Alligator mississippiensis: one gene and its partners. The protein of the gene in region 1 interacts with the protein of each later gene in a pairwise test. Links are inferred from orthologs where the notes say so. Each region holds a gene or a part of one and is shown in the gene's direction. Other genes may lie near its edges. The genes, in order: TMEM79, RNF8, pulmonary surfactant-associated protein C and SLN.

The links.
Region 2: the proteins of TMEM79 (region 1) and RNF8 interact in binary tests that used the Homo sapiens proteins (3 or more experiments, as listed by UniProt). The two-hybrid records come from large-scale screens. The link is inferred for Alligator mississippiensis from reciprocal best matches to the Homo sapiens genes TMEM79 and RNF8.
Region 3: the proteins of TMEM79 (region 1) and pulmonary surfactant-associated protein C interact in binary tests that used the Homo sapiens proteins (3 or more experiments, as listed by UniProt). The two-hybrid records come from large-scale screens. The link is inferred for Alligator mississippiensis from reciprocal best matches to the Homo sapiens genes TMEM79 and SFTPC.
Region 4: the proteins of TMEM79 (region 1) and SLN interact in binary tests that used the Homo sapiens proteins (3 or more experiments, as listed by UniProt). The two-hybrid records come from large-scale screens. The link is inferred for Alligator mississippiensis from reciprocal best matches to the Homo sapiens genes TMEM79 and SLN.

Annotation. Positions count from the first base shown.
Region 1 is NC_081838.1:17,491,872-17,499,542, forward strand, and holds the start of TMEM79 (transmembrane protein 79), read left to right. Parts: upstream 1-4,668; 5' UTR 4,669-4,773; intron 4,774-5,709; 5' UTR 5,710-5,793; coding exon 5,794-6,547; intron 6,548-7,142; coding exon 7,143-7,356; intron 7,357-7,671. Other genes in the region: nonsense-mediated mRNA decay factor SMG5, read right to left, coding at 1,208-1,284.
Region 2 is NC_081824.1:169,948,554-169,956,127, forward strand, and holds the start of RNF8 (E3 ubiquitin-protein ligase RNF8), read left to right. Parts: upstream 1-4,572; 5' UTR 4,573-4,696; coding exon 4,697-4,780; intron 4,781-7,351; coding exon 7,352-7,480; intron 7,481-7,574. Other genes in the region: AARS2 (alanine--tRNA ligase, mitochondrial), read right to left, coding at 2,696-2,884, 4,273-4,506. UniProt on the Homo sapiens protein: E3 ubiquitin-protein ligase that plays a key role in DNA damage signaling via 2 distinct roles: by mediating the 'Lys-63'-linked ubiquitination of histones H2A and H2AX and promoting the recruitment of DNA repair proteins at double-strand breaks (DSBs) sites, and by catalyzing 'Lys-48'-linked ubiquitination to remove target proteins from DNA damage sites.
Region 3 is NC_081830.1:21,484,345-21,491,310, forward strand, and holds pulmonary surfactant-associated protein C, read left to right. Parts: upstream 1-3,951; coding exon 3,952-3,993; intron 3,994-4,118; coding exon 4,119-4,265; intron 4,266-4,693; coding exon 4,694-4,834; intron 4,835-5,447; coding exon 5,448-5,558; intron 5,559-6,423; coding exon 6,424-6,540; downstream 6,541-6,966. Other genes in the region: LGI3 (leucine-rich repeat LGI family member 3), read right to left, coding at 1,100-1,311. UniProt on the Homo sapiens protein: Pulmonary surfactant associated proteins promote alveolar stability by lowering the surface tension at the air-liquid interface in the peripheral air spaces.
Region 4 is NC_081824.1:437,318,192-437,324,744, forward strand, and holds SLN (sarcolipin), read left to right. Parts: upstream 1-4,102; 5' UTR 4,103-4,262; intron 4,263-5,390; 5' UTR 5,391-5,498; coding exon 5,499-5,594; 3' UTR 5,595-6,052; downstream 6,053-6,553. UniProt on the Homo sapiens protein: Reversibly inhibits the activity of ATP2A1/SERCA1 and ATP2A2/SERCA2 in sarcoplasmic reticulum by decreasing the apparent affinity of the ATPase for Ca(2+). Also inhibits the activity of ATP2A3/SERCA3.

The DNA of each region.
Region 1 (7,671 bases):
CCGATTGCAAGATAATCCTTCTTGCCCTGAGCTATCCCCACCCCTGCCACTCTGGGTTACTGTCCATGTTTCTTAGCTGGAGGAAAACGATGAAGAAAGGGATGACTGTGCTACAGGCTCAGAGCAAATTAGGATAGGAAGAGAGCCCAGGAGAGAGGATTCCCTGTCCCTAGGGGTGTTCTTCAAAGCAGGGGGATGACAGCACATGGCAGTGCTCTGCTCACAGGGATCGCAGCAGAGCACCTTGATCAGAACCATAATTATTCCCCGAATCACGTCTTCTGTCGTCAGTTTTGCTGCACAATGCAGAGATTTCAGTGAAAATGGAACAGCAGGAGGCTCGGGAAGCAGAGCAGAGCTCGGGAGCGGTGCTGGGGGAGTGCCAGGGCCCCCAGCCAGAACTGCGGCCCCGATGTGCTGCCAGGCCACCGAGGAAGACGTGGTCCCTTAAGAGCCACGCAAGTTCAGCATCCTCCCGCTGTACCGGCCCCCGGGGACCCCCGGCATCTAGAGACTCGCAAGGATTTAGCCGTTTCCCTCTCCTCAGAGGGCTGATGATGAAAGGGGCGTAGAGCCCAGCTCTGCAGCTTGCCCCATCTGCCACGGCACAAGTGAGGGAGGGGCAAGAGGACAGCCCTCTCCACCTCCCTGCCGCTTCCACTCACCCTCTCCCTTCTGCCCCCATACATCCCTTCTCACCCCCGTACACCCAGCCCTCCACCCCGCACAGCCTGTCCGTCCCACCCCACCTCAGCCCCCTCAACCTCCTTCCCATCTCCCCTTCCCCATCACACCCCAGCCCCCATCACTCCCTGGCCAGATCCTCCTCCAGAAGACCCCATGACCCCCCTTCCCCTCTCCTGACTCTCTTCCCATCACATCAGCCCCTGCAGCCCTAAACCCTCCCCCCCCCACTATCCTCCACAGCCCAGCCCCGACATCCCCTCTGCTCCAGACCCCCCAGCCCAGCTTTCAGCTCCCAACGCCCCCCCCACCTTTTCCCACGGCCTCGTCCCCCCCCCCCCGCTGCAGCCCAGCCCCTCGCCCCCTTCTTCACAGCCCGCCCTCCAGATGCCCCCTCGTCCAGCCCAGCCCAGCCCCGACATCCGCTCGTCTCCAGGCCCCCTTCCCCACAGCCTCGCCGCCCTCCCCTCCAACCCCCCCGGCTCCCAGACCCCCGCTCCCAGCCCCGCCCCCCGCTTCTCACCGGTACAGCCGCTTGGTGTGCAGCACCTTGGCCTCGGGCTCGCCGCTCTCGCCGGGAGCGCCGCTGCCCTGGCTCATGGCGCCCGGCGGGGGGGGGCCGGGCCCAGCGGCTGCCGCCCCTCAGCAGCGCCCGCACGCGCCCCGCTCCGCCGCCGCCGCCGCCCCCCCGCGCGCCCGCCGGCCCCTCGCGGCCGCCATCGCTGCGCGGCGCTGCCCCCCGCCCGCGCCACGCGAGATTTCGCCCCCGAAGCCTCGCGAGAGCTCGGCCCCCGCGCCGCGCCGCTCCGCACGCGGCTGGCAACAGGGCAGGCGGCTCGGCTTCAGCGCGCGAGATCCCACCGCTCAGCCTCGCGAGAGCGGGCCTCCTAACCGCCTCCCTCCCAAGGCTCGCCGACGGCCAGGACTTAGTGCTGGCAGCATGGCCGCCTCCCGGCTTCACTTGCGGTTCAAATAAACTTTATTGGAGGCTTTGTTCGTCAGACAAAATAGGAAGCTCTGGCTTTTGGGTCTTTCTTTTTCATGCTCCAGCGACTGGAGTCAAGTGAGACTCTCACCCTTTGTCCAAAGTCACATTCTAGGGTCTTAATTGCAGAGACTAGCGTAAAACCTTGCCCTGAAGCCAACCCACAGGCTCAGAAGCCAGGGGGCACAGGGAAAGGAGCCCCATTTTCTTTGCAAATCTCCTGATTTTTTTAGGCTTGCCGCCTCTTCTGCAATCCCTCGGTGCTGGGCATCCCGTTCACATCCACATTCACTGCCCCCGAGCCAGGCTGCATCTGGCTTCTCCTCTCTCAACCCTGCTTTAAACCTGCTGCCACCCAGGGACTCGCTCCTGATTTACCCCATGGCAACAAGAGGGTATACTTGGTCCTGGGAAACCAAGCCTGTTGCACTGACTTGGATAGCAGTCGGGCCGTAAAGTGGCTCAAGCCCTGAACGCCAGTCGAGCCCCGGGCTCTAGTCCAGCAATGAAAGGCATGTTTTTATAACGAGTTGGTAAAACAGCGATAGGTGTTTGATGAGCGAGGCAGAGCTTGAGGTGCCCGAGGTATTCAAGGCAGAGGAGCAGGCACTGGGCTGGGATCCAGGAGATCAGGCTTTTAAAGGGGAGCCTAGGTCTTTCCTATGTAGGTGGCTGGATTTTTAACAAAGCATTTAGCTGCCTCTTTATACCCCCAAATAACCCCAAAGAACTTGACCCTAGAGCTCCATCTTCTTCATTCTCCCAGCAGTCTGCTTTACCACCCAAAATTCATGTCTGTTCCCTGCCTGCCTTGATTGTTAAGATGCTAGGGGCTTTGAGGTGGGGATTGCCTTGGCACAGGGCCCACCACATCCACAAATACCTATGGTAAAAATCCCACCACGCTAAGAAAACTTCAGCTCATCTTCTCTGGGTTGTGAGCAGGGTCACCAACCCTCCAGGATTGCCCGGGAGTCTCCAGGAATTAGATATCAATCTCCAGGAGACTGCTGAGAGTCACCCGGGAGATAAATGATAGGGCATGCATTGAAATAAATATTACATGTTGAATCCGATTTATATAGTAGTCCAGGACACTACTATTTGTATAGTAGTATATTTATATTTATATAGTAGTACTATTTATATAGTAGTATATAGTTGGTTTTAAAAATGAAATAGCCATGTGCATCTGCCTTCCTGATATAAAGTCATTAACGTCATTACGTCATGTAATGAAACCTCCTGGAATAGAGTCAAGCAGAGTTGGCAACCCTAGCTGTGAGGCTTTCCACTCCCCTGACCCATGGAGGTTTAACGTAGATGGTGCCTGGGAGATGGATCAAAGGTAAAGAAATTGAGACACACATTGAAACAATGAAAACTGTTCAAATCAATGGGTGCAGCCCTTTCCGAGTGAAGTCCAAGTCCTACCCACCAGGCAGGGCTGTGCGGACACATTAGGGAGTGAGTGAAGATTAGCTTCCTTGGTGAATTCCCTTCCTTTTCTGGGAGGTTTAATTAAGGGCATTAATCAGGTGAATTAGATCTCATCATGTGGGGCTGGTTTTGCAGAGGGGCTGCTAATACAGTCGGCCTCCACCTTAATGCACTTCCCTGGAAAGGTCGTTTTATTTTGGTCAATTTTAGGTAGAAAATGACCTTTTCCCGGCTGGCTGGGATCCACCACCTCTCCCCCTCTGTGGGAGGCTTAGGACGAGTACAAATTCCAAGTTTGTTCAGAGCCAGGTGGGAAGTCACTGCGCAGAGCCCCTGTGCCCGCCAGTCTGCTGTGCAAACGAAACATTGATCTCAGAGAGGGCCACGCAGGTCAGCGCTGGGTCTGTCCTTGCACGTCTGCTTGCACGTGCCACATTGTCCCAAATGCACCCCTTGTGCATGCCCAAAGGAGCACACGTGCTGACAGCGAGATCACCATACATGTTCCCTGTTCACCCATCACTCACAACACCCCCCTACACAGACATGTAAACACGCACCTGCATGCCCCGTATTCAAAAGGAAATGCAAAACTCTAGAACTCTTGGTTCAGAGATGATCCCTTTTATTAGACCAACAGAGAAATCACAAAAAATTACTTTTTCTGCAAGCTTTCGGGCTCAAACACCCTTTATCAGGCTCAGGGAAAATTAAAGATGGTAAAAAGTCCCCATAGATAAGAAATAAACTTAATTTTTGCACAGAGGAAGCTGAATCCCGAAAGCTTGCAGAAAAAGATCTTTTTTTTTTTGCAATTTCTCAGTTGGTCTAATAAAAGGCATCATCTCTGAACCAAGACTTCCAGATTTTTGCATTTCTTTTTGTCTCAGACCAACATGGCTACCAAAACATGACAGTCCCATATTCACACACACGTGCATCCTAGTTATTGCACACGAACTCCACATTGAAGTACATACAATATGTACTCTCACAGGCCCAGACATACTAAAGTGCATCAAAAATATGCACCTGAAACATATAGAACAAAATACAGGCGTATACCCTAACATACCATAATGCCACCCACAACATGTACACCACACAAAAATGTATGCACAAGAGGAGAATAAGCCACATGCAATATCACACACATGCTCACTAACAAATATATACACTCTTTCCCGTGTACCTACGTACACATACACACAAAATCAGTCACAATCATGCACACACACACACAATCAGTGGACACACATACAAATGCACACACATATGCACACTCACAAGCACACACATACATACATACACATACAAACTCACACTCAGTCATGCGCACACACCTACATAGGTATATATGCAAACTCTCACAAATACACATGCATAGAAACACTCACAGTCATGCATACACACACACATGTGTGTGTGTGTACACGTAGGTATGTACTCCCCTCCCATGGGACGTACCCTCTTCTGCCAGCCGAGGCAGTGCCCAATTGGGTGAGGCAGGCCTGCCCCCACCCCTTTAATCCCGGCCCCTGTGTTGCTGGTTAAACAGGTTTGAAGTCCAGGCGAAGGAGCAGAACTCTAGAGCCTTTGGCTCCGCACCGGTTCACCAGCTGCCTGTTCCTTCATGGCCCCACAGAGCGCCCAGCGCCTGGCCGGTAGGTGACAGTGCTGGGGGAGCACAGCTCTGAGCTCCCCTGCTGGAGTTAGGGGAGCCGGGGTGCCACCCGGGACCAGGACAGGGTCAGGTGGGGGCTGGGGAGGGTGAGACATGCCAAGCAGGGCTCTAGGCTGTGTCCCCTGCTCTGCTACTGCCCTGTCACTGCCTTGCTCCATGCCCCAGTTTCTCCTCCTGTGAAATGGGGGTGGCGATCCCACCCTTCTTTGCCTGAGCAGCCAGGCATGCGCTGATATATCATGGGCAAGGCCCCAGCTCTGCTACCTCGTGTTTATTTGGGAGCCCTTCCTCTCAACCCCATGTCCCACATGGAACTCTTCCTGCCTAGACTTCCCTGTGCCATTGCGGTCAGATCCCCAGAGCTGTCTCAGGGGAATTGCTTGGCTTCAGCTCCGGCTCTGTTATCTAGCTGTGTTCAGAGCCATTAACCCCTTGTTCCCCCCAGGGGCATGGGAAGGATAGGCCTACCTCCCCCCACTCAATTCAAGGCGAATCCCAGTTCATTTCGGAGATTGGAGATCCTGGTAGCAGGGCATTGTGCAACCGGTGCATGTCTGCACAGCACATGGCCTGATCTCAGAGCTCTTCCTTGTCCTTCCTGGAGTCCAACCCCTTTTGGGGAACTCACTGCTCCCTGCGTGGCTTTCTCTGTCCGACTGGTGCTGAGGCCTGGAGAGCAAAACCTTGTGGGGGCTGTACATGGCACAGGAGGGTGACTGGAAGCCAGGACACCCGGGTTCTTTGCCTGGCTCTGCCACAGATTCACTTGGCGGCCTTGGGTGAAGCATTGGGCTTCTCTCAGGGCCTCCAGCCTGTAAAGGATGGAGCACAGGAGGGGTTGAAATCAAGGCTTTATACAATGGGTGCATCTTGGGGGCTTGGGTGCGATGGCCAGGTCTGCGTGTCTGTTCCACAGCAGGGTGAAAACAGCAAAGGACAAAGCCGACAGAGGTGACCCTTGTCACACCGGCCTCGGCGGCCAGCTGCCCACAGCACCAAGATGATGGCCATCGACCCCGTGACTTGCATGCAAGAGATGACCCTGATAGAGCTGAAGCCTCTGGCCCCCAGTGCCACGGTGGAAGAGGGGGTGTCCCTGGGGAACCACCAGCCGGGGGACCCCGACACCACCCTGCCTTGGGACCAGTCCCAGTGCGGCTCCGGGTATAAGGAGACTGGGGAGCCCCCAGCCCTGGCTAAGGCAGAGTCCAAGGGACAGCGGAGGCCGAGCCCGGAGGGGATCCAGGAAGGCACTGAGTTGGAGTGTCCTGGAGAGGCCAAGGCTTTCCTCAGTCCTGCCCCACTGAAGGAGCAGACAGAGGATGAAGTCAATCAGATGCCAGAGAAGGCAGTTCACATGTTCATCCCCATCGATACCTGCTGCATCGAGCGGACGCCCGGGCGCTGCAGCTCAGCAGGGACCAGCGCCTGGAAACAGCCAGTGCCTCGGCATGGCGAAAGCACCCAAAAAGACACCAGCAGCTCTGAGAAGCAGCTCTTCGTGCCCTGCAGCCCCAGGCACTACAGCAAGGAGCAGCCCGGGGTGCCCAGCGGATGCCCACCGTGCTCCAGCTGCAGCAAGGCCAACCTCAAAGCCGTGGCCTCCACGGTGGCGGCCATGATCCTCTACCCCTGCTTCGTGTACGGGGCCTACGTCTTCCTGCCCTTCGATGCCCCCCCAATGCCCAGCATGAGCATCCGGCTGGTCTACACCCTTCGCTGTGGCACCTTTGCCACCTTCCCCATCATCCTCGGTGAGCCAGGTCTCTGGGAGCTCTCTGGGTCCCAGTACAGTCTAACAGGGGGTGAGGGGTCCCTAGCTCCCAACCACCAGCGTCCTGGTGTTCTCCCTTGTCTGGGCCTGAGAGCAGCTCCTCTGACTCAGAGGAAGGCTGGGTGGTGCAGCAATTAGGACACTTTCAGTCTGGGTTTGTACAGCTCCTAGCACAGCCAGGCCAAGGTCCGGGATTGGGACACCTAGCTGCTCTGACCACATCATGAATCATCTACTCAACAGGGTGGCAGCTGCAGAGGTAGGCTCTCTGCCACTGATGCACCAAGCAACCTCAGGCACATCCTTCAGCCTTTCCAGTGCCCATGTGTACAATGGGAATAATAGGGGGGAGTGAGGAAAAGGAGTGCAAGGGTGGGTCAGTGCTGGAGCAGATTCCAAGAGGAGTGTCTATGCAAGGAGGTTTCCATCTCTTTCTCGCCCTGGGCATCATCCATGTGTCCATCCACTCACACCTCTCTCCCTTTCTGCCCACCTCCCCCAGCCCACACAGCCTCGTCTGTCTGTCTGTGTCCCAGGTTCTTCTCCTCCCTGGCCTCACCCCACTCTCTCTGCAGGGATGATTGTGTATGGCATCTCGCGCCTCTGCTTCTCGGCGCTGCAGCCCTTCGGGGAACTACGGCGGGAGGTGGAGATCCACCGCGGCTATGTTGCCCAGTCCGTGCATCTCTTCATCCTCTACTTCTTCAACCTCGCCGTGCTGGCTACCTACCTGCCCCAGGAGGCCCTGAAGCTCATCCCCTTGCTCACAGGGCTCTTCGCCATCTCCAGGTGAGGTGCGGGCCCCTCCTCTGGGCTCCAGGTGGGTCAGGGAGGGTTCAAGGGACCTTTGCCTACAGAGTCTGCTGCAAAACTGAGAGAGGAAACGCCCCTTAGAGCATTACTCAAGCTGCCAGGCCCCCTTCACCCTGCTGATGTGGGGAGGCAGAGCACCCCCTTGGCAAAACCCACCTATGTGGTCTCCCCTGCAACTACTGACCTGCTGTGACACACTTTGGGTTCACAGTCAAGCAGGAGACAAGGGAGGGGTGGGGACCACACCTCCTGCACCCCTAGCCCTGTTTGGTCTCCTGACCTCCACCCCGA
Region 2 (7,574 bases), on another chromosome or scaffold:
TAGCACCATGGCTGAAAGAGACTTGGGGGTCATGATTGACCACAAGATGAACATAAGCCACCAATGCGATGTCGCAGCTGGTAAAGCAAACAAAACTCTGGCTTGCATCTATAGATGCTTCTCAAATAAATCTCAGGATGTCATCTTCCCGCTGTACTCAGTCTTGGTGAGGCCGCAGCTGGAGTACTGCATCCAATTCTGGGCTCCACAATTCAAGAAGGATGTGGATAAGCTTGAGAGAGTCCAGAGGAGAGCCACACACATGATCAGAGGGCAAGAGAATAGGCCTTATGAAGAGAGGCTGAGAGCCACTGGACTCTTCAGCCTGGAGAAGCGCAGGCTCAGGGGGAACCCGGGGGCTGCTTATAAGTGTATAAGGGGTGTACATCAGGATCTGGGAGAACATCTGTTCACCAGAGCACCCCAAGGAAAAACAAGGACCAACAGTCATAAACTCCTCCAAGACTGTTTTAGGCTGGACATAAGGAAAAAATTTCTTTACTGTCCAAGCCCCCAAGGCCTGGAATAGACTCCCTTCAGAAGTGGTGCAGGCACCTACTCTGGACTCATTCAAGAAACGTTTGGATGCTTATCTTGCTGGGATCCTTTGACCCTAGCTGACTTCCTGCCCCTGGGGCAGGGGGCTGGACTTCATGATCTTCAAGGTCCCTTCCAGCCCTAACATTTATGAAATCTATGAAAGATAGCATATCACACAGCATGAAGGCAGCAAGGCAAGCAAGACAGGCCTTCAGACATCTGTGGAAAACTATCAGCTTCCTAAATGTGACCTAGCAGTGCCTACACCCACTAAGTCAATTGGAGAATCAGTGAGAGTGACTCCCTATTCAATGGGGAGTTTACTGACTAGAGGCACTAGAGCTCAGTTCAAGCCTTCATTTTCCCTTTTTGAACTGAGTGCCTACCCTGCTGGAACCCTTTTCTTATCCAGGGGACAGGTACAGGACAGACCTACCTTCCCCCACACAGTTCATTTGGTCCCACACAGCCTGCAAAACAAGCAACCAAAGGAGGGGGACAGTGGGACAGCTGCTAGGATGGTTTCTGAAGTGTGGATACCTGTTCACCAGGCACCTGAAACCAGTCACCATTACCTTCAGGAAGTCACAGGACCAGAGAGTTGGACTAGATGACGCTTGAGGTGTCTTCTAACTCCCTGCACAGTAGCAGGAAAGAGCTCTGTATAGATAGCATGCCACCCAGTGCTCCCATCGGAGATACATTGTTAAAGCCACAGGTTCACCAAATTTTCCTAGCGTTGCTTGTACTTCTATACAAGGATCACTCCATGCCTCCTATCTGGTGTAACCCAACACCCATCCTTCCCCCCTCCACTCCCCACAAACTGCTCCCCTTTTCTACGTAAGAGTTAACAGAATATTTAATACGTCAGTAGTCTTTTTATACACACACACACACACACACAGTTAGGCAGCTGGTGAAGGTGTTATCATTTTAGACCACCCGCATACGCTCAGCACATTCCCTGGTTAGACACCCATTTTAGCCATGTAGCTCACAACAAAGAATGTAGCCTGTGTTGTGAGAAACATGCAGTCATCAAAGCAGCCAAGAGACTGTATCCGGTACAGTTATGTTTCTGGAGCCATAAGATGCACCTGACACTTTGCAGAGACCCCCTGTCCCTGAGGATTTTACGCTCTAGTGTAGGAGTGGGTAATTATTTTGGCTGGAGGGCTGCTTAGTGAGTTCTGGTGAGCCGTTGAGAGCCACACATGTAAAATTAATGGTGAAGATATCATTTTAACAAACCATAGAAAAAAACCCAAATCACATGCTTAAAAAAAACAACGAACATTATGGAATATTTTAATTTTATTTCAAAGAATAAATTTTGTCCTGATTTGTTTGGGGTTTTTTTTAGCAGTGTACATAGATGTGATTGTGTAATAGCTCAAAATAAAGTGTCTTTCTCAAGGGAACCAAAACCAGTCAGCAGGAAACTAGGCCAAGGGAGGATGCCCCCACCCTCACCAGAGCCCTGCCATCACCCAGCCATCCCCCAAATCACAAGGGAGTTCCTGCCTCAGCATGCACACTGGCACACCCTTTAGGAGCTACTTGAGCCTCAAACCCGCTTGCCTGCCCCTCACTCCTTTCCATCCACACTGGCTCTCTCACAAAGCCTGGGGAAGCCCAGCAGCCCCCTCCAACCCACCCCAACTCCCTGCTAGAGCCATGCAGGCTGCACCCCCACAGCCTGGTGGTTCCCCTTCCCCCAGGAGGAGCCCCAGCATGCTGGGAGCAGCCTCACTTGGGTGGACAGGAAGGAGCTGTGCTGGCTGCAGCCAAGAGGCAGATGGCTGGGCTGGCTTGCAGTGCTGCATGGGGCAAGGGAAGAGGTGGGGACAGAACCAGAAGGCACTGGGTTACCTTTGCCACACGGTCCTGGCACCCAACGGGGTTCCTGCCAGCTCCATGTTGCAGGCAGGCAGGGCACCGCCAGCCCAGCCTGAGCAGGGGTGCCGGGGCCTGACAGTGAGGCAGAGCCAGGCGGGTTGGTGGGCAGGGTTGCTTCGACCTAGCAACATGTGGTGCCACCAGAGGCCGGAGCTGGAGCTGCTACCCACCCACAGACTGGACAGAGTCAATTGGTGGGCTAGATACAGCCCCACAAACCATATTTTGCCTACCTCTGGCTTTAGCATCTCACCTTGAAGTAATCCCCGAAAGACCAGCTCCCCAACATCTCAAAGAAGGTGTGATGGTAAGTGTCTCTGCCCACATCCTCCAGGTCATTATGCTTCCCACCAGCACGCACACACTTCTGGCTGTTCACCACACGCTGGTACTGGGCCAGCTCACTCCGGGGATCTGCCGTGCCCAGGAAGATGGGCTTGAACTAGAACAGCAATGTAAAAGTGTAAACATTTTCAGACGCTGCCTGGTACAATGGACTCCAACTGTGCTGTGGCAACTCTGAACAAGGAGGAAGGCACCTAGGGCAATTAAGGGCTAATTGCAACATAGGCAGATGGGACAGCTCAGTAACTGGCTCTGTTTTATCACAGCTGAAGCACATCAGGGGACTGCTCCAAATATCTGAAGAACAGAGAAAGCACCTGTTTTCTCTTGCTGCAGAGAAGACATGGACCAATGGCTTCAAGTTGCAAGAAAGTGAGTTGAGATTGGACATCCAGAAAAACTTCTTCACTGCAAGACTAGTGAGACAGTGGACCAGACTCCCTACGGAAGCTGTGGACTCCCCATCACTAGAGGTTTTCAAGAGGTTGGACACTGCTCGGGGGTGATCCAGGCATAACTACTATGGGCATTTCCTGTGCTTTGCTGGTTGCCCCCTCCCTCCCCTTGTCTGCTATAACACGTGTACGGGTGCTTTTATGCCTTCCCAGAAGCACTGCGTATTGGCTATAGCTAAGGCTGAAGACTTTGGTCAGGGTGTGCCAATGCTCCCACTGGGACCAAATCCAGAGGTTCCTGGCTAGAGGGTTTTAAACCTCTGCTCAGGGTCAGACCGATCATCCTATCTGGGGTCAGGAAGGGCTTTTACCCCTGTGACCAGACCAGTATGGACTGTGGGGGGTTTTGCCTTCCTCTAGCAGGGGGTGTAGCTATCTAAGATCTCTTGAATGTATACTGGCAACATTTAATAGAAGCAGGATGTTGGCTGCTGTGATTCCCCTGCTTTACCTGGGGCAGGTTAGGGTGCTAGGTCTGTGTTGTGTCAGGGCTGATGGTAGATTCATGCAGAGGCTAGATTATGATTTGTACAGAATGGTTTGGACAGGGATGATCCTACCTCAGGCAGGGGGTTGCACTAGATAACCTCTGGGGTCCGCTTTCAGCCCTACTTCCCTATGACTGTGGAGGGGAACGAGACCTGCAGCCTCCTGGCTGGGGCATGGGAAAGGCACCCCCCAGGCTCAGCCCAGTCCCTGCCCTGCTTGACAACGTGAGTGAAGGGTGGGTGCAGGTGTGGGATACAAGCCTCTTCCAGGTGGCCTCACCAGGGTAGGCCCTGCACAGGATACACCAGCTGCACACACGTGCACGTGTACACGCACTCCCATCCAGACGCACATGGGAACACACATGTACACACACATACATGAACATGGACACACACTTGCACGTGTATATGCACTCCCATCCAGGCACTCTCACACACACGCAGGTGCGCACAAACACACGCATGTGCATGCACGCAGGTAGCCATCCCTGGAAAGGATGCAGACGCGTGTGCTCATACAAACACGCATGCGCACACACCTGGTTCATGCCCGCGTTGACGAACAGCAGCGCGGGGTCCCCGCGGGGCCGCACCGAGGCGGAGGGCAGGCGGCGGTGCCGATGCCGCCCCTGGAAGAAGCTCAGGAAGGCCTCACGCACCTGCCCCGCGGCGGGGCCCGGGCCGGCGGCGGCGGAGCAGCACGGGCGGCGATACCCGCAGCGCCAAGCGCAGCCCCGACCCGCCCCGCGCAAGCCCCGCAACAGCCCCGCCATCTTGCGGACAGCTGCGGGCGCATGCGCGAGCACCGCACTCCCAACAGCCCCTGCCACCGCCGCTCTTCCTAGCTCGGCCATCCATTGTTCCACCTGGCCGCCCCCCTGCGCATGCGCCGCGGCCCCCAGTCGCGCGGAGGCCCCTCCCCACCTCTCCTAGGGGAGCGATTGGTCCTGCCTGCGGGGCGGGATGGCGGAGTGTGGTGGCCGGTGCTGGTGTCTGAGGCGCCTCGGCCAGCACGAGCAGTGGCTGCTGCTGCGGGGCGGCGCTGAGGTGCGCGGGCCAGGGGGGCTTCGACCACCGGGGGAGTGGAGGAGGAAGGGAAGGGAAGGGAAGGGAAGGGAAGGGAAGGGAGGAGTTTTATGTTGATTTGAGGTAGGCTCGCGCTTGCTGTGTCAGGTAGGTGGGAGAGCCAGCCTTTCGCTCCCCTCCCCACCCCACTCCCGGCTTTGGTAGTCTAAGGCCCCTGGTACCTGTTACATTATATTATGTCATTCACCGGTGTGTCGTGCAGCAAATGTTGACCGGCCACATGTGCAAAGTCATGCCATGCTCTGACAGTGACTCTCTGGCTCTGAAGAGAGCCAACCGCTTATGAAGTTAGTGCTTGGAAATGTGTACCAGCTCTGTCGTCGCCACGTCTATGCACCCGTAATTTGTCACCTGTAATTACGCTGCTGGTGGCAGGGGCAGCCCCTCGATTTGAGGATGATTTCTGCTACGACTCATTGATGAGTCTTGAGGTGACCTAAATATAGGGTGCAGTTAACCAGTTAATTGTGTGATCATTACTTTCCACTTGTGGCCGGTCTAAATTTATTGTTTAGTTAACCAGTTGATTGTGTAATATATGTAATGTGTATATATACCAAGGGCCTACGGATGCGTCCAGACAAGCGCACGTGTGCGGTTTGTTGTTCCACAGACCCTTCAGCGGCGCCACATACCACATGCACCACACATACAGATGTTCATAGTACTGCTAATTTGCAGAGGTTTTTTTGAGAACAGGAGATCCCAGTGTCAAAAAAACCCACACCAATAAAAAGTGGAGCAGGGCATGTGGCTGCAGCGTGCGCCACACAAAAACAGAGCCTGGATGATCAGAACCCTACTCTGGCTGCTGGCTAGGCTCCTCTGCACGTATGGATTGCTGCCACTGAAACCCTGGTGGCCCCTCCCGAACATCTAAATGTCGCTGCTGTTTGTCCCCGAGGAAATGCATGTGCATGCTCATCTGGACGCATCCTTAGAGTCCAACCCTTGAGCCATTGATCTGGCCTGCAGGCAGGAGAAGAGAACTAACTGCCAATATTTGTAAGTTTATTGCAATGCATGGTTTTAGGTCTCATAACTTACCTGGGCTACAAATCAAGAAAATCCTTTCTTGAAATCTTAATCAGTGGAAATTTGGATAGGCATGCAGAAGCTCACAGTTTACGATTTGATTTGCTCTTCATACAAAAAGGTTCTACCGTGTTTGTGCGAAGTAGTTCGCCAATCACGCTTACAAACTCAGCGTGGGCTCTGAAAATTAAGCTGGTTTCTTTCTGCCAGGCTCATCTTCATCAGCAAAGCTAATTTCCTTAATGTTACTTCTCTGCAGTCTCCACTGAAGGCACCATGGCTTTTCATAGATATAACGGTAGAATTTGCCCTTGCAGTTGAAATTTAGTTCATTTTCTGATACAGGAGGCAGGCAGGAAACCAGCTGATTCTTCTAGCTGAGGTAACTCTTGAAGTTTAGGAAGAATAGAAACATATGACTTGTCAGGTACTAAAACATGATTTTGAATGCCCAGGGAGATCTCTTGGGCAAGGGAGTATTGTACATGGTTAAATTTCTGGTGTTAATGGCAGCAGTGGCTAGTAGGTACTTGTAGTACAGCAGCAAAGAAAATGCAATCTAAAAATTTAAAGAGCAAAGCTGAATAAATTCCCGATTCTACCTGAAGCGTAATCTCTCAGGTAAGAGGCCCTACAGCAGTGGGTCTCAGCTTTTTTAGACTCAAGGCACTCCTGGATAGTCTTGAGGCACCCCTCCGAAGATGCCAGCTCTTGATCTTCACTCCTTTTTTGACTACAGAAAAATAATAGTTCTGTTGCAAAGAGCTCAGAAAGACCGCAACTAAAGATTTCTGTTTGAAATCTCTGGGTTTATTTTGTGAATCATGTTTGCATACCTAACAGTGCTAACATAGTGTGGCATCCTGTGGCACCCTTGAAAGGATCTCAAGCCACTCCAGGGTGCTGTGGCACCCTGCTTGAGAATCACTGCCTTAGAGGAAGGAGGAGCTTAGAACAGGGGTGGGCAATTATTTCGGGCAGAGGGCCATTTACTGAGTTTTGGCAAGTCATTGAGGGCCACATGACAGGCAGCCGGGGCAGATAAATATTCATTTTCTAAATTTTTTAGGCGCCACGCAGGCCAGATAAAATGGCCTGGTGGGCCGCACGCGGCCCACGCACTGTATTTTGCCCACCCCTCGCTTAGAAGCTACGTGGTTATCTGGAAGCCTCTGAAGCCTTTGTTCTTCTTTATTTTTATGGTCATTGTCTTCAGTATCAGAGGCGGCAAATTGTTTCTTTTTTCCCCAAAAGGCCCAAATACTTCCACTTTTCAAAGGCTTCCATTTACTGTTGGCACTTAACTTTATCAACATGTTACCTTTCTTGTGTTTAAATTTATAAATAGTAATCTTTTTGTTAAGGTCAGTTTACTGCTTTAATTTCCACTGTGCAAAACAAATTCAGTGACCATTTTCCTTGTATTTAAGATCAAAGCATATAGAGCACCCATTCTCAATTATTGGTAATGTCTGTTGTTAAACTTCTTATTTTTAGGTAACTATCGGTCGAGGACTTGGTCTCACCTACCAGCTAGTATCAAAAATCTGCCCGCTGATGATCTCTCGCAACCACTGTGTTTTCAAGCAGAATGAAGAAGGCCAGTGGACAGTCAAAGACAACAAGGTTAGGGTTACTATATTTCCAGGATCAAAAAAGAGAGCATCCCTCTGCAGGGGGGGGGAGGCTGCACGGGTAGCCAGCAGGGGTGTGGGGAGAA
Region 3 (6,966 bases), on another chromosome or scaffold:
CACCAGCACAGTCACCAAATGCACGCAGCAGGCAAAACCCAATTCACAGTCACCAGCCAGCCTGCAGACAGGCCCAAAAGCCCAACACAAGTACATGCCTCCTTCCGCACACACACAACTTCAAAGCCCCTCAGGCTGCAATCTTAAAAGGCCAAGCTTCAGTATCTTGCTTCCTAAATTACATTAGGTTAGAGTCCATGGGGTGAGCTAATATTTATGCTCAGGTCAGGAGATATCACTAGGCAAAGGTTGGTGCACATGTACACGCACATGCACACACACGGGGATTGCTAGGGCAGCAAGAATCAGAAGTGTATTGCAAGGTTTTGTGTCTATTGTAGTAACTAAACCAGTGACAAGAATCCTCTGCCTGTTTTCTGCATTGAAAAGTGTCCCCTGAGATGGCAACACATTAGGGAAAGTGTGTCCTGGTAGCATGTACACACACACACACACACACACACACACACACACACACACTCTAATACTTTACAAGGACAGATGCACAGATACTAATTTCCTAACTTAGATGTTGTTCACTCACATCTTCATGCTTACATGCATGCACACATGCACGCTCATATGCACATAACATGCTTAGACAACATGCATGCCCTGCATATATGCACAGATCCTGTGTGCTTTCAAGATTCACATAGATGTTGTGCACATACACACAGCTGCACACATGCACACGCTGAGACGCACACAGCCCCTTCAAATGACCAAAGAGAAATGCGTGCACACACGCACGTGCACACACACACCTTGCACTAAGACGCCTGGTGTGGTCACGGAGAGATGCTCCTGTTCACACACACAGAGTTCTTTTGGACACAAACAAGCCCCTATGTCCTGCCCACGTGAGGCACACACTGCGTGCTGCCCACACAGAGGGTCATCCCCAAGCGAAGCCCCAACAACCCCATCCCGATGTCACCCCAAGCAGCAGAGACCCTACAGTGGCATCCAGGGCCCTCAGCTTTTTTATCTCAAGTTCAATCCAGCCCACCCCATGGCTCTCAGCCCCCAACCCAGAGATCCCCCACTGTGCCCAACCCTGTCCCCCCACCCAGCACCCAGCCCCAGTGATACTCACAGGGAAATGACCTCGGGGGGCAGATTGCGAGGCACTGCCTTGGAGTCCACACAGAAGGCGGTGTCACGGGTGCAGGAGCAGCTCCGGGGGCAGGGGGGCAGCTTGGGCCCCCTTTTAGCCCCCACAGGCAGCCCGAGACAGGCCAAGCCGAGGAGTAGAAGGGCAAGGATTTGCCCCCTTGGCACCACTTTCCCTATCTGCAGCTCAGCCATTGCCCTGGAGCAGCCTTCCTCCCCTCCAGAAGAAGGCTCCCCCCTTGGGCTGGGGCTCCTGCTCCCCGCAAACCTGCTGTGTAATCCTCCCCACCTCTCCGTGCTCTGCTCCTCAGCCCAGCAGCTGCAGTGTGCAGGCTTTCTGTGCCTCCCTCCCTTCCTCCCTCCCTCCTGCTGAGCCTGAGCCTGAGCCCTCCGAGTGACTTTAATATTCAGCTGAAGCAATCCTGGCAGGAAGGATGCCACAGTCCATCACGCTGCTCTGCAGAGCACCACACTCGACTACTGGAGGAGCGGGGTGGGAGGGGGATGGAAGATGTCCGCTGCTGGATGATTCGTCCAAGTGATCTCACTGCTAAGGGCTCCTATCTGGTGCATGGGAGACTGTGTGTGTGCCCACACACATGCACACACGTGCAATAGTGAACATGCATAGGTGTGTGGAAACTCCAGGCAACCAAATGTATGTGGATGTATGTACATTCAGTGTGCAGCCATATGTGTGTGCATATGTCTGTGTCTGTGTCTGTGTCTGTGTGTGTGCAGACTTCACACAATCACGGTGCTCTCCTGCAGGTATTAGGGTCTTGTATATATTCTGGGCAAAGACGTGTGCAGGTGGGAGTGTGTGGACATATTACGTACACATGCATATAGCAGGCAACAATGTACATGTGTGTGCACACATAAAGCATACAACAGTGCATGAGCAGGTGTGTTGTGTATGTATTCTGTGTAATAACGCACGTGCCAGGAGGAATGTGTGTACATAATGCGTGGGCTCCTGTGCAGACAGGCATCATGGTGCTTGTGTACTGGACAGACCTGTGCTTGGGTCTCCACGTGCCAATTTTGCATACTGGAATGCACACATGCATGTGTGTGAGTGTGACAACACTTGTACAGGTATGTGTGTATATGTAAGGCACCGGCAGTGTGGATGGCACGCAATGTATGAGCCTGAGTGCAAGGCTGTGCATGCATGTGAGCATGAGCATGAGCATGAGCTGCAGAGGGCTGGGACTGGGTTCCTGAGGGCTGGGGAGTTGATGTGCGACTGCCTGGCTAGTATGTGCACAGGCTGCCTATGCCCCAGATATGCGTGCATGAACACCGATGCACATACATGTGTTTGAGATCATTACAGGGGAGTTTGCATCTGCTTGACACAAGAGTTGTAGCCTGGCCTGAGCCCCCAGCCTGATTCTTTCACACCCCTCTGGGTACTGGGGTCTGCAGTGCCCTACCAAGACCCCCAATCTTCCCCTTTGCCCCCTGCATCCTAACTGTCCCACCCCCATCCTATCTGACCTGTCCCTGGGGAGCCATACTGGAGCTGCTCCTGGCTAATTTATGAGTCAAAAACTGGGTCTCAGCTGCCGTCCCAGGCACCGCTCTCTCCCAGCCAACAATGAGTGATGGCTCTATAGAGGGCATTCTTACCCGCTGCAGCTGGGCAGTGAGGCTGAGATGCTGGCAGCAAATAAACAAGAACCACAGGGCTTAACAAAGGCAGAGCAAGGGGGGAGTAGCCGCATACCAGCCTGGGGGGTCTTCCCTTAGATCCCGGGTGGAGAGGGGAGATGGGTAGAGGGAGCTGCCAGCTAGAATCCCCCTCAGGGCTTCACTGAAACAGTGAAGTCCAGTTGATCCAGGCAGTTTCATTTGTTTGGCATGGGGCTCTGCTCTATCCAGATTTCTCCAGGGTGGGCACTTTGCAAGGAAGCAGGAAGACTGGGCACAGAACATCCTGTACTGAGCAAGGAGAATACCCCAGGCCACTGAAGGGGCTGGCACGCACCCAGAGTCTGCAAAGCCATCACAAAGACTGAAAAGTGCTGCCTGGGTTCGAACACCTAGCCTCTGCTCCGTGCACACTCTGGACCTGCAGGATGAGCAGCTTACAGGTTGCAGACGGCGTGCCACGACCACAGTCCCTCTTTGTTCCTTCCCAAGGTTCACAGGCAGCTGCAGGTGGGGTCGGAGGCAATGCAGGCAGGTGAAGGTCTGAGCAGCCTCGAGCTGGGCTACAGGTTGGCTGGCACCTAGCAGTGAGGTCAGACGTCACTTCGGGACAGCTGGCACATTGGGAAGTGCCCAGACCAGGCCAGTCAGCAAGCAGTGGGAACCTGAGCTTGGATCTGCACAGCCTGGAAGGCCCTTAATTTTCAGCTTTTCCTTTGAATAGCTGAAGCACCTGCAGGTGCCCGAGCTGTCTGGGAGACCTGGGGTGCCGAGCCAGGCCATACTGACAGGCTGGAATACTCCAACCCCAAGGGCAGCACCAGGCTCTCAGAGTGGGTTTGCTTTGGCCCTCATATTCCTTGCAAGTACATCTTCTGGGGCAACAAAGAGCATGGAGCCAATCGTAACGTGTACAAGTGCCCCCAGGGCCAAGAGCCCTCAGAGACTCTCAGCCAACAGGTTCCCAGGGGCTTATCTGGGAGCCGGCTCTGAAGGGCCCCGAGCAAACATAGCCTGCAAGAACTCCTGACCTGGAGCCAGAGAACCTGGAGAGTCCCAGCGCCGCTCTCTTCTCCAGCTCCTCAGCATCCGCTATATAAGCCTCTTGCCACCCACAGGCTCTTCAGAAGCTGGCAGGACACTGGAAAAACTGAAGACTACAGGACAAGGGGAAAGATGGACATTAGCAGCAAGGAGGCTCTGGTAGAGGCGCCTCCGGTAAGGAGCATCCTCACACCCTTACCCTCGATGAATCAACCCCTGACCCAGGGCCATCTCCTGCGATCATACCCTGGTTCCTCTTATGTCTAGTGCTAACCTTCTCTCCTCTTGTGCTCCCCCAGAGGTACACAGCCTCCCCTCGGCTTCCCTGCATTCCCCACCAGGTCAAGTGTCTCCTGATTGTTGTGGTGGTGCTCGTGCTCCTGGTTGTGGTGGTCGTGGGCTTCCTCCTGCTGGGCTTGCACATCACTGAGAAGCACACAGAAACGGTAAGTGGGGCATTACCCACATGCAAAAATATATGCATCACTGTGCTAGTGCTCGGGGGTGGCCAAAGGGGCTGCTCTGCCATGTACACAGGTATACAAAGAGAGTAGGTGGAGCTGTGGGCAAGTGCAAATGGGGTTTGTGGCAGGATGTTAGAGGAATGGGGCTTGATTAGCAAGGCCAGCAAAGAAACCAAAAAACCCAGAAACATCTTAGCAACAACCGACGCTGGATGCTGTGCCAACCTAAGGGCCTGGTTTGCTAATGTCTCCGCTTGCATGAGGCTGGCAGGACTGATGGGGGGAGACACTGCGGGTGCCTCCTCAAGCAATGGAAGCAAGCGTCTGATGCACCATTGCCTGTCCTGCTTCAGACCACCTGTCTCCCAGCTCTGGTCAGACCTGACTCTGAGGATTTTCTTGGCTTCCAGGTGTTGCGAATGACCATCCAGGGCCAGGATGGGGAGGAGTCCCCACAGCAGCTCTCCATGAGCAGGAAGGAACGAGCAGGGACTTTCTATGTCAAGGAAGGCATCAACTCTTCTGCCATGGTCGTGTATGACTACAACAAAGTAAGCAGCTGGGCCTGGGTGGGAGCTGGTAGGTCAGACTGAGGTGGGTTGCAACCCAGGGGCCCATGCTATGCCCTGATCTCACAAGTCAAGGTGCTGACGCTGAATGAAGACCGAACTGAGACAGTGCTGGTGTTTCATTAACAGGCTCAGTCCACAGCCCCCAGATGTAAATATGCCCTTGCCCCTGGATCTCTGGGTTCTGTGGCTTGGGGCCAGCACTAAGCTGATGTCAAGTGCTGTCTCTCCACGGGCCTCTTGGAAGTACTGAGCAAAGGAGTCCAAGATGGATGTGGAGAAACCGCTCGTCAGGGGAAGAGAGTGCAAGATAATACTGCTCAGTGTTGTGTGATCAGCAGAGAGACAGGGAGGTGCACCTTTGGTCCAAATGAAAGGGCAAGAGTTAGGGTAAGGACAGGCCTATGGAAGGGGTAAGGGACTTGTAGGCTATGTGTGGCAGGCAGGAAACAAGGCACAGATGGGCAATGTGCATGCCAAAAGGTGGAAGGGGCTGCACCACTGGAAGCAGCCATGCAGCTCTGGTAAGCACAAATGAGGTGCTGCCATGAAGGAAACCAGGGCTGAAGCCAACATGTGCTCTGTCTGCAAACAGCTGATCATCAGCTACAGATCCTGGCTGGCCCAAGCCTGCTACATTACCAGGATTGACAAGGACAACATCCAGGGCCTGGACGCCATCACCAAGGCATTCCAGTATCACCAGGTGAGCACCCAGGTGGGCCTTCTGGGTATGGAGGGGAGCACAGGGCAGATGGCTCTTGAGGGTAGGACACCAGGAAAGACCAACACATTGCAGAGGATGCAGGATGTTCTTTGGTTACTTGGGAGATGGCAAGCTGCACAGTCCTGGTTCACTTGCCTTGGGAGGAACAGGGTCCTGGATACAGGACCCAGCTTTGCAGGCAACAGGCTATGTGGGGGGCCCACAACTCCACTGCTGCATGGCTATTCAGAGGATTCCTGCTGCCCCTGCCCAGGCAGCCCAGGCCCCGAGCAGCTTGCGGGGCAGCCCAAGAGCCCTCTGCCCACCCCCACAGACAGGGCTTGAATGCAGCCATATGGGGCTGCACGCATGGCATAAACTGCTTTTGTGCAGTGGCACCTGTCCAGGGCTTTCGGAGGGCTGTGCCAAGGTAATCGATCCAGCCCCGCACTCATGCAGAGCAGAGGGAAGCTATTCATTTTCCTAATAGGCAAACTGGAAGCCGAGGTGGAAAATTACTTCACCAAGGTCACCTGTCAAAAAAATGGCTAGCGGGGAAACGACCCAGAAGCCTTCACCCTGGCCCCACTACTGGACAATGCTGCCCCTCCAACATGCGTGCAAGCTCAATATTATGGCAAAGCAGTGTTTGCACTGGGGGAGCATTGCTAATGCAGTGCAGTGGTCGTGGAGGACACCTTGGAGCATCATGGGCATTGCATTCCCCAGAGGAAAAGCTGACCTGAGCACACAGTTTGGACCTGGCTACATCCAGGAGTTGTAGCCCCCAGGCCTGGCTCTAACTCACCGTGCCACTGATGGGTGGGAAACCACATGTGTCTGATTTTATTATTTCTTGTTGCAGCTCAAGCAGGGCAAGGAAAAGGAGAGCAAGGGCTTCCCTGTGCCTCTGGCTGACCGCTCCATTTTAGGCACCACTGTCAACATCCTCTGCAGCAATGTTCCCATCTACTGGGCCTAGCAGCTGCTCAGGTGGGTGAGCACAGTGAAGAGGGGCACTGGGTTTGCCCAGGAGCTGGACAAGCAGCACTGCTGGCAGCATACTTCCTCCCTTTTCAGCACATACCCCCACTCCAGCTGGAAAAGCAACAAGCCCTCGACCCAACCCCAGCCTGGCCACAAGCAAATCCCATCCTGACCATTCAGCTTCCAGCATTGAGCCAGCAAGGAGCAAGTTGAATGTGTGTCTCTATGTAACTGATAAAAAGCCCAGCAACCCACCTGCTCAGCGCCAGCCTGCTCTGCCATGGGCTCTTTCATCTGCCTTGTCTATTAAGAGTAAAATCTCCCGAGGCAGGGGCTGTGCTGCACTGTACCACACCCCACTCAGTGGGGTACCCTGTCTCAGCTGGGACCTTGCTACCACAAACTGAGTAATAAACACTAA
Region 4 (6,553 bases), on another chromosome or scaffold:
GGGCGTCAGTTGTCAGTTGCCCCATCTGGTTCAGCAGGGGTCCAATGTTGCCCCTGCTTTTCCTCTGGCTCCCCACATATCTGAAAAAGGACTTTTTATTGTCCTTGATGCTCAAAGCTAGCTGGAGTTCAGTTGCAGCCTTGGCTTTCCTGGTCTGCTCCCTACAGGACCGGACCAGTGCAGAATAATCCTCCTTGGAGGTGACTCCCTTTCCTCCATCCTTTGTAGGCCTATCTTTTTAGCCTCAGGAGGTCTGCTAGGTCTCTGGAGAGCCAGAGGGCTTTAAGAAGACCTTTGACATGGTTTCTTACCACATTCTCTCAAAAAAACTAGGTGACTGCGGCATTGATGCCTATGCAGTCAGATGGGTGACAAATTGGCTAGATGGTCGCACCCAGTGAGTGGTGGTGGATGGGTTGTTTTTGCCCTGGAGGGATGTGGGCTGTGGAGTTCCCCAAGGCTTGGTCCTGGGGCCTGTACTGTTCAACATCTTTATCAGCGACCTGGATGTGGGTTTGGAATGCATGCTGTCCAAATTTGCTGACAACACTAAGATGTGGGGTGAGGTAAGCACGCTGGAGGGGAGGGACAGAATCCAACGAGATCTAGACAGGGTACAGAGGTGGGCGGATGAGAATAGGATGGAATTCAATGCGGACAAGTGCAGGGTACTGCATCTAGGGAGATGGAACCAGCAACACACCTATAGGCTGGGGAACACCCTTCTTGTCAACACGGTGACAGAAAGGGATCTTGGAGTCATTGTTGACTCCAGGATGGACATGAGCCGCCAATGTGAGGAAGCAGTCAGGAAGGCTAACCGCACCTTGTCGTGCATCTACAGATGCATCAGAAGCAGGTCCAGGGAGGTGATCCTTCCCCTATATGCAGGTTGGTCAGGCCACAGGTGGAGTACTGTGTCCAGTTCCGGGTGCCACACTTCAAGAGGGATGTGGCTAGCATTGAGAGGGTCCAGAGGAGGGCCACTCACATGGTCAAGGGGCAGTGGGTATGAAGAGAGACTAAAGGGCCTGAATCTATTCATCCCCCACAAGAGAAGGCTAAGGGGATTTGGCTTTGCTTCATAGAGGCTGAAGTTTATGCATCTTACATCCTTATTCTTTCCTGTGGGCTGGGCTGGTGGGTCATTGTGTGGCTGGGATGAAATTGTATCACGCGGTCTGAAATAATGCCCCTGAATTATGGAAAACAAACTAGGAATACTCAATAGGTATAACATGCAAAAGGGGCATGTTAATGAAAATTCAGATTGTGAATTTACAAGCACAATGGCATTGGAACTGAAAAGCTGCTTGTATAACCAGTAGCACGTAGTGCTTGGAAATGAAAGTAAAGACCATCAGCTCTTATTCACTAAATCTCGGTGGCCATTTACAGACTCACCAGGGGGGCCAGTGGAAATTGGGTGAGACTCTGTTCCCCCGGGCACCACCCAGGGTTACTAGGAATAATGGCCACAAATTGCTCTAGAGAAGGTTCAGGCTGGACATCAGGAGACATTACTTTACAGTTTGGGCTGCCAAGCTCTGCAATTGGCTCCCAAGGGAGGTGGTACTCTCTCCTACTTGGGGGTCTTCAGGAGGAGTCTGGATAGAGATTTGGCTGGGGTGATATGACTCCAGCACTCGTTCCTGCCCGGGAAAGGGGGTTGGACCTGATGATCTGTTTAGGTCCCTTCCGACCCTAAGCACTATGATACTATGATACCCCAGTGCCACTTCAATCCCTCTCCCTTACCCAATCTGCTGCTCTGCTTTCTGTTCCCTGCCCTGTCTGCCACTGTGCTGCATGTCCCAAACAGGCTGCCTGCACTACTTGTGACACCCATGCTGGAGGCTGGCCACCTCAGTGTTAGAGTATTATCCCAGCATGGCAAGATCCATAAGTCCTTCCCCTGCCTTAGAGGTTTGAGCCCAATCTCTCATTTCCCAGTAGAGTGTCCTAACCACCTTGTTATACAATATTGTGGGATGAGGAGCTTTTGGTCTCTCCCGCTGAAGCTGCTCCACTTTCCACAATTATATTCATTCATTATATGTTAACTGGGCCAGATGGCAGAGGCGAGAGAGAGCATCTCTGTTTTCTAGTGACTAAGGTTGGGAGGGGGAAATGGCTGGATTCCAGTCTCAGCTCCGATGACTATTTTAATATTTGTCATTAAATATTTTACATGAAAACAGTCATTGCAACAGGGAACCATGTTTCCATCTCCCCAGGGGAGTGCCCCAGCCATGAAGCAACCCTTTTTTCCCCTGGCCCAATGAATAATTAGCTGGTCCTAGAAAAATGGAACAGCTCCTTATCCCACATTATCATATAGCCTGAGGTTATAGCATCATAGAAAGTTAGGGTTGGAAGGGACCTCAAGAGGTCATATGGACAAACAAAGTACATTTTAGCCACTGTAAAAGGGGGGAAGAGCTGCTGCTCATGAGTACAGAGCAGCTGTTGCAATCTGAATGGTACAAATGTATGATCCTGTAGTGATAGAAGTGAGCTAAACTGCCCCACCTTTGACCCCAAATAAAGCAGGATTTGAGTTGGCACGGTTTTGCTATACTGGTATCACTACAGAATCTTGCAGCCATCACAGCTTGTATCAGTCTCTTTTGTTACATCTCCTAGGCCTTGAGAAAATTTCATCCAAAAGCAGGCCATAGTAGGCACTTGGGACACTCTCCTGGGAGACATCGGTTCAAATACCCACAGGTAGAGGAGGGATTTGAACCTGGGTTTCACACATCCTAGATGGGAGAGCAAGGGTGTCATCACTCCCTCTGAAAGAAAGAGTGTAGGTATCTAAGCTCAGGAGAGACACTGTGATAGTGAAGCCCAGTTAGTAGGAAGAATATGTTTGCAGTCCAAAATGAGGCACACAGCTCCCTGATAGTGGCACAATAGAAGCCTCACCCCTCACCTCAGCATTTCCTAATGGCTAGTTAAGGCAGTTCCCCTCCCCCTCGCCACACACACCTTCTTGGCATCTGTGAATCTAAATCTTGGGTACCTTAGTCACCTCATCCATTGTGTAGAAAGATTAGGTGCCTAATTTGGACACTGCAAATGTTATGCTAGCTGGCAGTTTGTCATATATTCCCTATTACAACCCAAGCCCAAAATATTTGAATCAGACTCTGGTTCTTTTGCTCATGATGCTTCATTCCAGAAGAAGATACACTGATGCCAAATGGAAATATTCAGCTTATTCTGCATAAGCAGAGATGTAGTAAAACCAGGCGCAGTAGGGCAGGTAGAATTCAATGTTCTGTACAATGTAATACTTTTCTATTCTCTTTCAAGTTTACCCGAGACAAATGCTGTGTTCTAACAGCTCTGTCACTGTGTATCCATTATACAGATGCCCAGGGGCTGGACAACACTATCAATTGTCAAGACCTCTGAGCAGCGTCATTAGGGAGAAAGTCTACAATTAGTGAAGCAGCTTTCTACTGCATGCTCAGGGGTTTGGAAGGTTATACTAAGCCACAGACGGGCACTGGGCTAGTAGGCAGAATCCAAGTGACGAGGTAAATGGTACCTATCTAATGCAGTTGATCCTGATTTACAGTAGTTTGATCTCAAAACACTTTCACCAGTAAATAATATTGTATTTAATTATTGCATATCCAGTGCAAAGAATATTTTGCTCCAGTGGTCTCTCTCAGATTAAATGTATATGAACACGAGAAGCTTCAGAGACTATAATAAGAAAGTAAGACAGCAACAGGTGCCTGTGCTTGTAAAGTAAACTATGCAATCTGGACCCCATACAGTTTTTTAAAGACTGAAAATTGTCTTGTACGGATCCTGAAAATTAAATGTGGACCGTGTCAAGCACCCTTTTTTTCATTAAGGATGAAGCTATAAACTGATTAATTCCAAGCACAAAATAAATCTTTGTAAAATTCCATTGGATCCAAAGGGTTTATGCATATCCCTAACAGCTCATGCTAAGAAGAAAGAAAATGTTAATATGTAAATCTATCCATAAACCCCATTGCATAAATAGCCTTAACTGAATCCTGCTGCCCAGCTTAGCCCCTTTTACTTAGCTGGTGATGTCATCATTTTAGTTGCCAAAACACTTGTTGCTCTCCTCCCTCTTGACTACTTTAGTTCCAACACAGAGATTGGGAATCCAGATTGCATTGGGAGATAGGCAGAAGCTGAGGAAGAAATAATATCTGCATTGACCTAGGGTCCCAGAGGCTGAAATACTGGGTTCCATTTGTCTTCTTAAGGTAAAATCATGGATTACTTTATTAAGTCTGGATTTTCCATTGCAAAAATAAAATATAAAGCTGACAGAACAACATGGGGATGCTGAAATTTGCATAAGTGCATGCACTAGGCTTTTAATAGTTTACAAGGTGAACTAAGACAGTTTCCGATTAAACCCTTCTGTCTTCATTATGCTATATCAAGGCTTCTCTTATTTTCATCTTAAATGTCCTATTCTAATTTACCCTTTTCTTTAAGATTTGTTTGTATGGCTGCATATTTTTTTCTTGCCTAGAGCTTCTCTCTCCTTTCTTTAAACACTGTTCTTTTTTGACATACGAATAGTATTAAGTGGTGTACTATTCATTACACATGCTAACATTTCTCTGTGTGTTCAGAGATGCATACAAAAAACTTAACTTGCTGTGATGGAATAAATCAAGCTGTAGCTGAGGCAAAGTTTTTTAATGTAGCATGAATAACATTACTATACAAAAACCATAGCAACTTGGAAGTTCAGAATGACCATGAGAAAATCTTATTTCATTTAATAGGATTTGTTCACAAATTTTATGATGTTTTTCAGAAACAAAAATATATAACCCTGGTCCTTCCTATGGTTTTAGTAGAACATAAATCCTCAGACTTGATTTCTCTTCCAAGCAGTTCAAAAAGGCCGAGTCTGGTGGTTCTCTTAAGTTACACTTGCAGTATTAAAGTAAAAATAATATTAAAAATATAAAGAATGAGAAATATAAGAGCTTAAGCTTTGCATATCCATGAACATTTTCCACCCAATCTATTTTTAAATCTGTGAAACTATATTTCACTATTATTTTTAATAATGGTATTTTAAGTATACTGCTCTTCAAAATAATAAGTTTGGGGTTTGTATAAAAAATAACTGTCATTGCTCCCTTTCTATGTCTACTTGTCATGTGAAATGTATTTCAGAGTGACACTGAGAACATGTCTTGTCAAACAGTGGTAATCAAAGGAGGTGATAAGCTGTTAGAGATGCTTTTTGCATTTTAGCTTCTGCAGCTCATACTAACTTTTAGCAATGAAATAACATTTGCTTATATAATATAAATAGCTTTGTCAAGCTTCCTACATTCATGTATCCATGTTGTTCATGTTTTCTTTAGGAGAGGCTGTGACCTGAAGGCTAAGCTCAAGGACTCCGGGAGGAGTCTCTGAAGTTTTCCCTTTACTTCAGCTATTGACCTCCAGTCTTCCCCTGAATATTCCCAAAAATGGAACGATCCACACAAGAACTCTTCCTTAACTTCATGATTGTCCTGATAACTGTGCTTCTCATGTGGCTTCTAGTGAAATCTTATCAGGAGTAAAAGACAATCTCATGCTCCTTAAATTCATTTAAGCATGCATCTCTGCAGAAGTATGTAACACCTCCTGTACAACAGTGTGACTTCCTTTATATTTGATAATGTAATGATTTTTTTACTCTCACGCTTCTGTTGCTTGTGCTGATAGGTGTTTTAATGGGTCTATGATGATGTAATTATTATATTCTGTAGTGACCCAGCTGTAAAATGGACAAGGCAGGGTCCTCAGTAGTTGCTACATATGACTCCCAGTAGTTACTGCAAATGTAATACACTGACCCACAATGCTTACCTCTTTGGTATCACCACCAGGCTCACCGTGGTACAAGACTGTAATATTCAGTATGTGTCTTCATAAACTGAAACAAAAAAGGCACAAACTAACTTAGCTGAAAGAAAGTGGAAACTTTTCTTTCATTCACTGTTGTGCTCTCTTGAATAAAGGAGAAGATGTAAAACCATGTTTTGTAGCTCTCGTTATCTCTTCCTCCATCTTTTAAATGACTGATACGGCATATTACCCTCATTAATAACATGCAGCTGACACAGAAATTTGGTGGCTTGTAAAAAGACATGTCCAGTTAGCTACTGCTGAATCACACTGGAAATCATCTGGCCTTGCTACTGGTATCCACACCAATACCGCACGAGCTGATCCAGATCCACTTTCCTAATAAAACATCCAGAGAATAGTCATAGCTAGTCTATTATGTATGGCATGGATTCTGCAAAAGAGAGAGCCTCTGCTTTACAGCTGCTGTTGCTACATGACTGCATTTCAGATATTGGGCTTGGGTTCCAGCTCTGGGGCTAGCCTGGCAGGAGGAGAGACATGGTTCAGCTCCAGTTGTAACATTTTACAGCACCCTCAGAACTGCTCTAATCTTTGCCTGACTGCAGCTGTCCCCAGGGATGGCAGCAGCACAAGAGCACTGGAGTGTAACAGCCAGAGGAGCAACAAG